Tribolium castaneum: one gene and its partners. The protein of the gene in region 1 binds, or shares a complex with, the protein of each later gene. Links are inferred from orthologs where the notes say so. Each region holds a gene or a part of one and is shown in the gene's direction. Other genes may lie near its edges. The genes, in order: DNA replication complex GINS protein PSF1, dpa and Cdc45.

What was found.
Region 2: DNA replication complex GINS protein PSF1 (region 1) and dpa share a complex: the UniProt entries of both Homo sapiens proteins name them as parts of the CMG helicase complex. The link is inferred for Tribolium castaneum from reciprocal best matches to the Homo sapiens genes GINS1 and MCM4.
Region 3: the proteins of DNA replication complex GINS protein PSF1 (region 1) and Cdc45 are in contact, whole or in part, in a cryo-EM structure (PDB 6XTY), measured with the Homo sapiens proteins. The link is inferred for Tribolium castaneum from reciprocal best matches to the Homo sapiens genes GINS1 and CDC45. Residues at the interface, in NP_066545.3 of Homo sapiens: Leu146, Tyr147, Glu149, Arg151, Glu158, Thr165, Ser166, Val167, Leu168, Lys170, Lys171, Asn172, Ser173, Gln174, His175, Phe176, Leu177, Pro178, Leu195; in NP_003495.1 of Homo sapiens: Arg18, Gln37, Phe40, Gln41, His44, Val45, Gln46, Tyr47, Thr48, Leu49, Val50, Pro51, Glu64, His65, Gln68, Phe69, Thr394, Asp395, Ile398, Leu401, Asp402.

Annotation. Positions count from the first base shown.
Region 1 is NC_087400.1:16,460,480-16,462,901, reverse strand, and holds DNA replication complex GINS protein PSF1, read left to right. Parts: upstream 1-968; 5' UTR 969-1,061; coding exon 1,062-1,133; intron 1,134-1,184; coding exon 1,185-1,249; intron 1,250-1,303; coding exon 1,304-1,757; 3' UTR 1,758-1,907; downstream 1,908-2,422. UniProt on the Homo sapiens protein: Required for correct functioning of the GINS complex, a complex that plays an essential role in the initiation of DNA replication, and progression of DNA replication forks.
Region 2 is NC_087396.1:22,084,211-22,087,977, reverse strand, and holds the start of dpa (DNA replication licensing factor MCM4), read left to right. Parts: upstream 1-1,211; 5' UTR 1,212-1,369; intron 1,370-1,415; coding exon 1,416-1,862; intron 1,863-1,912; coding exon 1,913-2,110; intron 2,111-2,289; coding exon 2,290-2,524; intron 2,525-2,580; coding exon 2,581-2,823; intron 2,824-3,174; coding exon 3,175-3,403; intron 3,404-3,454; coding exon 3,455-3,767. UniProt on the Homo sapiens protein: Acts as a component of the MCM2-7 complex (MCM complex) which is the replicative helicase essential for 'once per cell cycle' DNA replication initiation and elongation in eukaryotic cells.
Region 3 is NC_087401.1:7,775,147-7,777,854, reverse strand, and holds part of Cdc45 (cell division control protein 45 homolog), read left to right. Parts: intron 1-881; coding exon 882-1,086; intron 1,087-1,133; coding exon 1,134-1,325; intron 1,326-1,375; coding exon 1,376-1,575; intron 1,576-2,708. UniProt on the Homo sapiens protein: Required for initiation of chromosomal DNA replication. Core component of CDC45-MCM-GINS (CMG) helicase, the molecular machine that unwinds template DNA during replication, and around which the replisome is built.

The DNA of each region.
Region 1 (2,422 bases):
AGTGATAAAAAAAATATTTAGTTGTCCCATTTCATTTCTTAATAGCATAATTTTTGGAACAATTTGCCCCAAAAATAAAATTAAAAATGTCTATTTAGTTAAGTATTCATTGTTATTATTAGATATTATAATATTACTCTTATACTTGGTTGCTAAAAAGTATGGATACAGTTAAATATTAAATAATAATTAATTGAAATCTTGTATTTGCTTAAAAGTACTGTTTAAATTCTATCGTTTTAGATGTCTATAAAATTTTCATTTACATTAATTTTGTTTCTGGGGATACAAGGCTAACTTTTTTTACACAGCAAGAAGGGTCAAATTTATTTTTTTAGTTCTTGATGTAACACATGCTTATCTCATTAAAAAAATATCTAACTAATAAAATTTTCTCTGCTTTGGAAATGTTGTCTTTATCTAACGTTAGCTCGTTTCCGCCTGAACTTTGACCAAAAAATAAGTTAAAGTTAATAATGGTTATTAAATAACACTTTTGTCTGTAAAAGAACACATTTTAATAAAAAAATTAGCTGTAGCCATACTTATTAGCCACTTTGTAAGAGCATTGACTGTCCATCTAGATTGCTTCTTCGTTAATTTATTATACGAATATTTTGCCATCAATTGTTTAATTATCTTCAAAAAATGTTTTTTGTAGTTACGACTTTTTTGCTTCGAAACTTCAAGAAAATTTGTATTTCAATTGTCGTATATTGAAAAACAGCACTCTAAAAAGATATGCATAAAATAACGTGCCAATATCATTTTTGCAAATAAATCGTTTATTAAAGTTCAAAATTTCATACTTCAATTATATGAAATAAAGATACCATAGAAAATTTAAGAAACATGAAATAACTCAAAAAATACGTAAAAGTAGTGACGAAATTTTTGCGTAGTAGGGCAGCATAACTTACCGTAGATGTGACATCACACAAGGATACGCGTGATTCGTGTAAACCCGCCTTTAGTTGTGGCCTGTCATTATAAATGCACCTTTACTGTCATTTGGCGGGCTTTTAGGTTAGAAAACTATTTAGACAAAATTTTAAATCGAAATGTTTTGTGAGAAAGCCCACGTTTTGATCAAAGAATTATCTCGAAACCGGGACGCTTTACCGCCTTACAACGTAAAAATTACCAAATTGTTCCTCACTCAATATTTTACAATTTTTTTTCAGACTGATCTTCTCAATGAAATCAACACTGAAGTCAAGCAACTCATTACTCAAAACCAAGAAGATGCGTAAGTTTACACACTTGATCCTCGAAACCAATACTTCAGCGTTTTTTTTTTCAGTCAAATTTCTGAAGATAGTCGGGTTATGAATCACGCCTCTTATTTACCTACAGTCAAAATACGGCATGCGGCTATCAAACGGAACATTCGATGCATTCTGGCTTATCACTACAATCGGTTAAAATGTCTCAGAAACATGCGCTGGCAATTCGGCAGTATTTTACCGCCAGATGTTAAATCGAATTTAAGTCAATCGGAAATTGAATGGTTTTCGAAATATTCCAGCAATTTAGTACAATATATGCGATCAATTGGTGATGAAGGGATTAATTTAGCTGTGGATTTAAAACCGCCAAAGTCTTTGTATATTGAGGTCAGGTGTCTAACGGATTATGGACAGTTTGAATTGAACGATGGTTCGGTGTTGTTATTGAAGGAAAACAGTCGTCATTACTTACCGAGAAGCGAATGCGAGGAATTAATACGACAAGGGGTCCTTGAACACGTTGTTTGAATTTGGCGCCTTTTTTTTAAACATCAAATGTCCTTGAAAATATTTAAATTACCTTATTTTTGTACGTGGTGATTCAATACTAAATAATTAGTTGTAACATAATCTTAAATTAATCTTATTTCGTAAAATAAAAGCGTCCAGTGTCGCCAACTCTGATTAAATTCCATGTTTTAGTGTTTGTAAGTAAATTGATACCTGAGTTATACACGGTGATTCTGTTAGGGCCTACATTAGTAACTTTTAACTTGTAATATAGCTAGAGCTTTAAAATTTTGTACACGATCTAAATCGACTATTCTGAATTCAACTTATTTTTTTTCAAAATGGCTGAGCTTTCGGAACTACAAAAAATTGGCGCCAAGTTTGAAGTTAAATCACTACTTCGCAGTTTTCATAGTTAATCAAGTAGAACTTGCAAAATGGTCAACAATTGTCAAACTTATTTAATTTTTAGCTGGTTCATTATCAAATAAGCAGTAAAACAATAATATTTAATTATGTTTCATTATAATTTTGTGAATTATGTAAAGTAAGGCAGTTTTACGGTTGACAATACAGAAGATTTTAGAAGATCTTTCAAACCTTTGGCTATCAAATGCAAAAAGAATTATTCACTTATTATAAAGGGTTCACGAGCTGTGATATTTCAAATGAACCCCTGCAAA
Region 2 (3,767 bases), on another chromosome or scaffold:
GTACGTCGTCGCGAGTGGTTGTAAAAAAGATAAACTTATGAAAATGTTACTAGCTTCAAGGAAATCATTGTTGTATAGGCCGTTTTTGTCAAATGCGTTTTGCCTACTGAAAGTTTTTGTATTCGCTTCATTTATACGAGTGTTATTTTTGTATATTTTGTACATAAACCTAGGTAATGAAAATAAATGTGATAATTATAAATTATCTGAAGGATACGTCGATGTATCATTTTTTTCAAAAATAAATGCCAAGTCTGTTACTTAAATACGACTTTTTATATATCGTATAAGAGATTATATCAGAATTTGTACATGTTGTATATAACTGTATATAAATAACTATTTTGCCTTGTAAATATTACCTACCTTTAATTAAATCGAGTGTTCACGACTACATACCTACATTTTTTGTAATTATTTGAAGGGTGTAATGGTTATTCGTTATCCAATCAAATTTCATCTGTGAAAATTTAAATATAAATGTATTGAAAAAACAATGTTTTATTTCACCCATACCAATTTTTTTTACCTTCCACAAATTTTAGCAAAATAATGGTATGTGCCTGATGAAATTTATTACATAACATTTTGATATTTTACTATTTAATGGTAAAAATCATTTTCTCTGAATAAAATTTTATTAACTTAGTAAGTAGTCCGTTCACTGTAGAATTACACGTTCGTAATGTTGGTTGCATACCATTCATTTTTTCTATGTAGGGTTAAATTCATGATAAAAAATTCAATTTTGGGGCCTTATATTGCTATCTTTATTGTTATATCTTTAATAGAAAGGTTTAAATGCTGTAGTGCATAAGATGCATAAGATTTTCACAATGTCCGAATTTGAGAAATACGGGGAGCTCAAGCACAAGAACATCAAAATTTTGACCTTAAATTAATAACAAAATGTGAAACCTACCTTTTTCTCGATCTGGAACACACCCAACACCAATTCTGCACGATTTTTCACCAAAAAAAGTCTTAAGCAACAAACACCAACAAATTTTCACAACAAACAATAAAGCCACTTGATTTTTAAAACAAAATTCTGTGCGCATGCGGCTTTGTAGCTAAGGCAACTCCAAGCAGCCTTGAAAATAATGTAATAACGTAAACTTTATAAAATTCGGTTTTAACAGAATTTTTATCTACAAATCAACATTGTTACAAAGTTTTAATTTTACAAACAATGGGGTAAACAATCATTAAAACCACGTTGAAACTTTAGCCACTATTAACAAAGCGCGCGTCATCTGCAACCTCTTCCACGAACTACTTAGCGTTTTCCCGCCTTTTTTACAGCAACAACAGTTGGTTAATTGTGTAAAAAAACATTATCAACACATTTTTTGTTGTTTTATTTACGGTAAGTGATTAAATCAGCGATAACTCCACCTAAAAACCCAAATTAGATGTCTTCCCCAGCCCCCCATCGTACCCCTCGCGCAAACCGCGACGATGATGCGCCCACTCCTCGGGGACGCAGACCTGCCGGGGGTCAAACCCCTCGAGGTCACCGCACCCCAGCTCGTGAGGACCCTCCCCAAACCCCATCTCGGACCCCCAGACGGAACCCAACTCCTGCCAAAAGCGACACCATTGATACCCCAATGCGTTGGGGCGGAGCCCGACGTGATTTGGACGCCGACGGCGGGGAAATCCCCTCGTCTCCGGCTGGGGTCACAAGCCCACCGGTGGCAATGAGCGAGATTGATTTATCTTCGCCACTTAATTACGGGACTCCTTGCTCTTTGGGGTCCATCAGGACCCCCAGATCGGGGATTAGGGGGACCCCAATTAGGATGCGGCCCGATGTGAGGACTGATCGGAGGATGAGACAAGTTAATGTCGGAGGAGAGGTTCAACAACTGTTTCAAAAATTGAGCTCGTTTTGACTCGATTTTTTTAGTTGGATCCGGTTGCTGAGGGTGATGAGGGCAGTACAGCCCCGCATTTGGTCATTTGGGGCACTAATGTCTCAGTTGCTGAATGTAAAGAGAAGTTCAAACAGTTTGTTTTGCGGTTTATTGATCCAAATGCGGAAGAAGATGAAAGAACTGATGATATGAATGTTAACGAACCCTTGTATTTTCAAAAATTGGACGAGGTGCGAACCTTATCATGATCAAAGAGGCGTTGACTTTGTTATTACGTTGGCAATGCTATCAGATTTAAGCGTCAGACAAATTTAAAAAAAACAATCGTATTTGTCTTTTTTATCTGTTGCCAACTTAATTTCAAAATCATTGATCACAAACTTGATCGTGTAGCAATTATTTTTCGTAGATAAACACCCTCGAAGAGCCGTTTTTGAACGTCAACTGTTCTCACATTGAGACTTTTGACGCCAATTTATACCGCCAATTGGTTTCGTATCCTCAAGAAGTCATTCCAATTTTTGACATGATGATCAACGAAATGTTTTACGAGCGTTATCCTGCTGCTGAATTGGAGCACCAGATTCAAGTCCGGCCCTTCAATGCGGAAAAAACACGAAATATGAGGGCCCTGAACCCTGAAGGTTAAATTCCTTCCAAAAAAAAATCTTTTAATATAAAATTTTATTTTTTTGCACAGATATTGATCAGTTGATCACAATCACTGGCATGGTCATCCGTACATCGAATTTAATGCCTGAGATGAGAGAGGCATTTTTCAAATGTATAGTTTGTAACTTTACAACGACTGTGGAAATTGACAGGGGGCGCATTACCGAACCCACTCTTTGCACCAGTTGTAACACCAATCACTGCTTTACTTTGGTCCACAATCGGTCGCAGTTCACCGACAAACAGATGATCAAATTGCAGGAATCCCCGGGTATTTTTTTAATTTATGTTTTCTCCTCGGATTTATTTTTATTTTTTATTCTTAACCATTCTACAAGATGATCCCAGTTTATCTTCATCCATGATATTTCTTCTTTTCTAATTTATTTCAACTTTTTTATATTTTACACTGAAAAAAATTGTTTGAACTATAAGAAAAAATTTATTTTTGTCGCCAACCTCGGGAAGAATTGAAGATTTTTTATTATCTATCTTCTATTTAATCCACACTTAACACTTACCCACTTAACTAAACGTTACAGTTACATAAAAAAAACGTTTTCTAGTTAAATCATAAGCACAATTTTTTATTTTTTTTTATTATTATAATGTTTTTGGTCAGACGACATGCCTGCGGGCCAAACCCCGCACACCGTCGTCCTCTTCGCCCACAACGACCTGGTGGACGCCGTCCAACCGGGCGACAGGGTCACCGTAACGGGGATTTACCGAGCGCAACCCCTTCAAGTGAACCCCCGACAACGCAACCTTCGCGCGGTTTACAAAACACACATTGACGTCCTCCACTTCCGTAAAATCGACACGAAACGCTTATACGAAGAGGAGGACGGGTAAAAACACCACAGTGAAAAAATAACTCACTTCCCCTCTTATTCTTCCAGCAAAGACCATCGTTTTCCACCCGAACGGATCGAATTATTACAACTCCTTTCAGAAAAAGAGGATATTTACGAACGGCTAGCTCACGCTTTAGCGCCGTCGATTTACGAAAACGCCGACGTCAAAAAAGGGATTCTCTTACAACTGTTTGGCGGAACGAAGAAAAAATTTGTTACGTCAGGTCGTACGAATTTTCGGTCCGAAATCAATATTTTGCTGTGTGGAGATCCGGGAACCTCCAAGTCACAACTTTTACAATACGTTTATAATTTGGTTCCCCGAAGTCAGTACACTTCAGGGAAAGGCTCCTCAGCT
Region 3 (2,708 bases), on another chromosome or scaffold:
TATTATTTGTTCCATTCCACTTCACTAAATCATAAAAAAGTGTCATCAAATGGTAGTGACATATTTTTAATTTTCTTCACATTTTTTATGTAATTAAAATCTGCGACGATCGTATATTTGTTTAATTGAAAATAACTTTAACATAGCTTATTTTGATAATTTCACATTTTTTACTTTAATAACCGTTCACAAAATTTCTAGTTTATTTACACCTTCTATGTAAAATAATTTTTCCATGACCAACTACTTTTAAATATTTTAAATTTATTTTTTATCAAAAGTATGTAAAAGTATCAAACTGTATTTATATTGTTTTAAGTTCAGAAAAACATAAGCTTTTCGAAAATGTCAGCCAACTATGATTTCTATTTAAAAACATACAATTTTAAGTTATTACAGCTAAACGAAAGGTTTACAAAAATCGCTGATAACATTATTAGATTCTCTGTGCCTGTATAATGTTTTTGCTTTAAATGTGTATCTTTTATAATAAGGAAGATATGATTTTTAAAGATTTCACTAAAATGTCAACTTTTGTTTATAAATTGAAAACAAAAGACGATAGCGGGATTCGGTTTTTACCAAAATTATTTTCTCAAAAAACGGACCCGAGAATGTGTCAATATTTTTTCTCTAAACTTCTTAGTTTCGGAGATACCACATCCGAAATGCCGCACCTTGTACATAATATTTAAAATTATTTTTACTTAAAAAAATCAAGGATGTGCCAAAAAGGTAAGACATACTTAATAAGTCAAACGGCTTATAAATTATGTTTAATTTTATTTATAAAGCTCATGCTTATACTTTTCAATGATTCTCCCTTAAAAAAGATCCAAGGTGGGTGGCGGCAACAAGGTGGGCTCATTCTCAACTTGCAGGTTGCCCTTATCGCAGAGCCAGCAGGCGTTCGAATCAATGGATCTCCAACTACGTAAAGAATTCCACCAAAGTATTGAAAAATTATCGGAAAAATACAACTTAGAAGATTTAGTTTTTACCTCATTTGTGTTACAATATGGCTACCGGAATAAATATTGTGCGTCTGACATTGTGTACGCCATGTTTGCAATTTTGGAGTCATCGGTGATTTATCATTTTGATAATTCTCTCACATAAATAGCTGTTTTTAGCCGAAGGAAACGCCAGAAGAGTGTTTTAATTCGGCACTTGATTGCCTCACTCGTAATAAAAAAGACGTAGTACAAAAAGCAATAGAACGTGCAAAGATAATCACAAAGACGATTTTTAAGACTGTACAAGCGGCCATTGATATGAAACAAATTATCACAGCCGGGAATTTTGTTTATTACATCATACAAGAAGTGAGTTGAATTGTTAGTCAAGTTGTTTGATTTTAATTTTTGTTTTATAGGGTTGTTTAGACTGGTATATGTTTTCAAACCAATATATTTTGTTATTGTTGGCACAATTTATATTACGGGCTTATGTGTCAATGTCACGGAATCGTAAAGCCCCTGACTTGCCTTTAATTATTTCAGCACCAAAAAATCTAGATTTAGGGACGTGTGTTATTTTGGGGATTCCACCGCTGAGGCAAAATTCACCCAAAAAGTAACTAAACTAAACGTACAGCCGCCCAAAAAGAAAATGACGCGACCATAAACCAATCCCATCATAAATCCTTTAATTTGCTGTTTAATATGTTTTTTAAAGTAAAAGGTTTTGTTGCAAAATAATTGATTTATCGCGGAAAGAAAAAAATTAAGAAAGGATTGAGTTCGAAAATCTTAAAGCAAAGTTTTAAAGCTTCAAGTTTTCTTAAAGTTATAATTTTTCATTTCCAAAAAATTTGTGGCAATTCAATTTAAAAAAGAGATTATTTTTTGTGGGTTCGCTTTTTTGAATTCAACAACTTATAAAAATTAAACAGATACAAAATGCAGTGACAATTTAACTACTTAAATAATTTATGAATTGGAAATGGTATTGTAAATAAAATGAAATAATAATTGGGCATTTAGAACCGGTTAACTTTACAGAAAGCGAAATTAAAACTTAATTCGGAATAAAACTAATTCGACATTAAGTTGCCACTGAAAATAGATTGACAAATGTAAAGTTAATCTCAGAAAAATTTTTATTGCAATTAAAATGTTCTGTAAACCGACTCTTGAACTTATTTTGCATTAATGAACTAATAATTTAAATTTGCAAACAAATCGACAATTTTTCTGCCCTCTTAAAGGGTCAAAACGTCGTGACAAACTTGATTTTTTTTAATCTTTCATTTGTTTTAAAAAAAATTATAAATGGTTATCAGTTTGAAGAAGAATTGGAAAAATTTGGTCTTAAGTTATCTCTTGTGGTGACTGTGGTCTTGTGTAGGTGTTGTTAAATATTTCCAGTGAACCTTATTTGCAGTAATGGTCAAAATTTTAATCATGGTATTTCCATAAATGAAATACTTTAATGTTCATTGATAACTTTTTTATTCTGGTTACACTAATTGAAACATTTAATAAACAAAAATTTTAATAAAACCTTTTTTGTGGTTAATAATTAAAACGATTAAAAGTACAGACATCTTTACGTGAAATTTGAAATACAATTGTATTACTATAATTTTGTTTTCTATTTTGTTTTATGAACAATTTATGGACAGTTTTATGGATATTTTTCAACTTTTAATACAGTTAGAGCTTTAAAATTTTGTATATCATTTAAATCGACCATTCTGAGTTCAA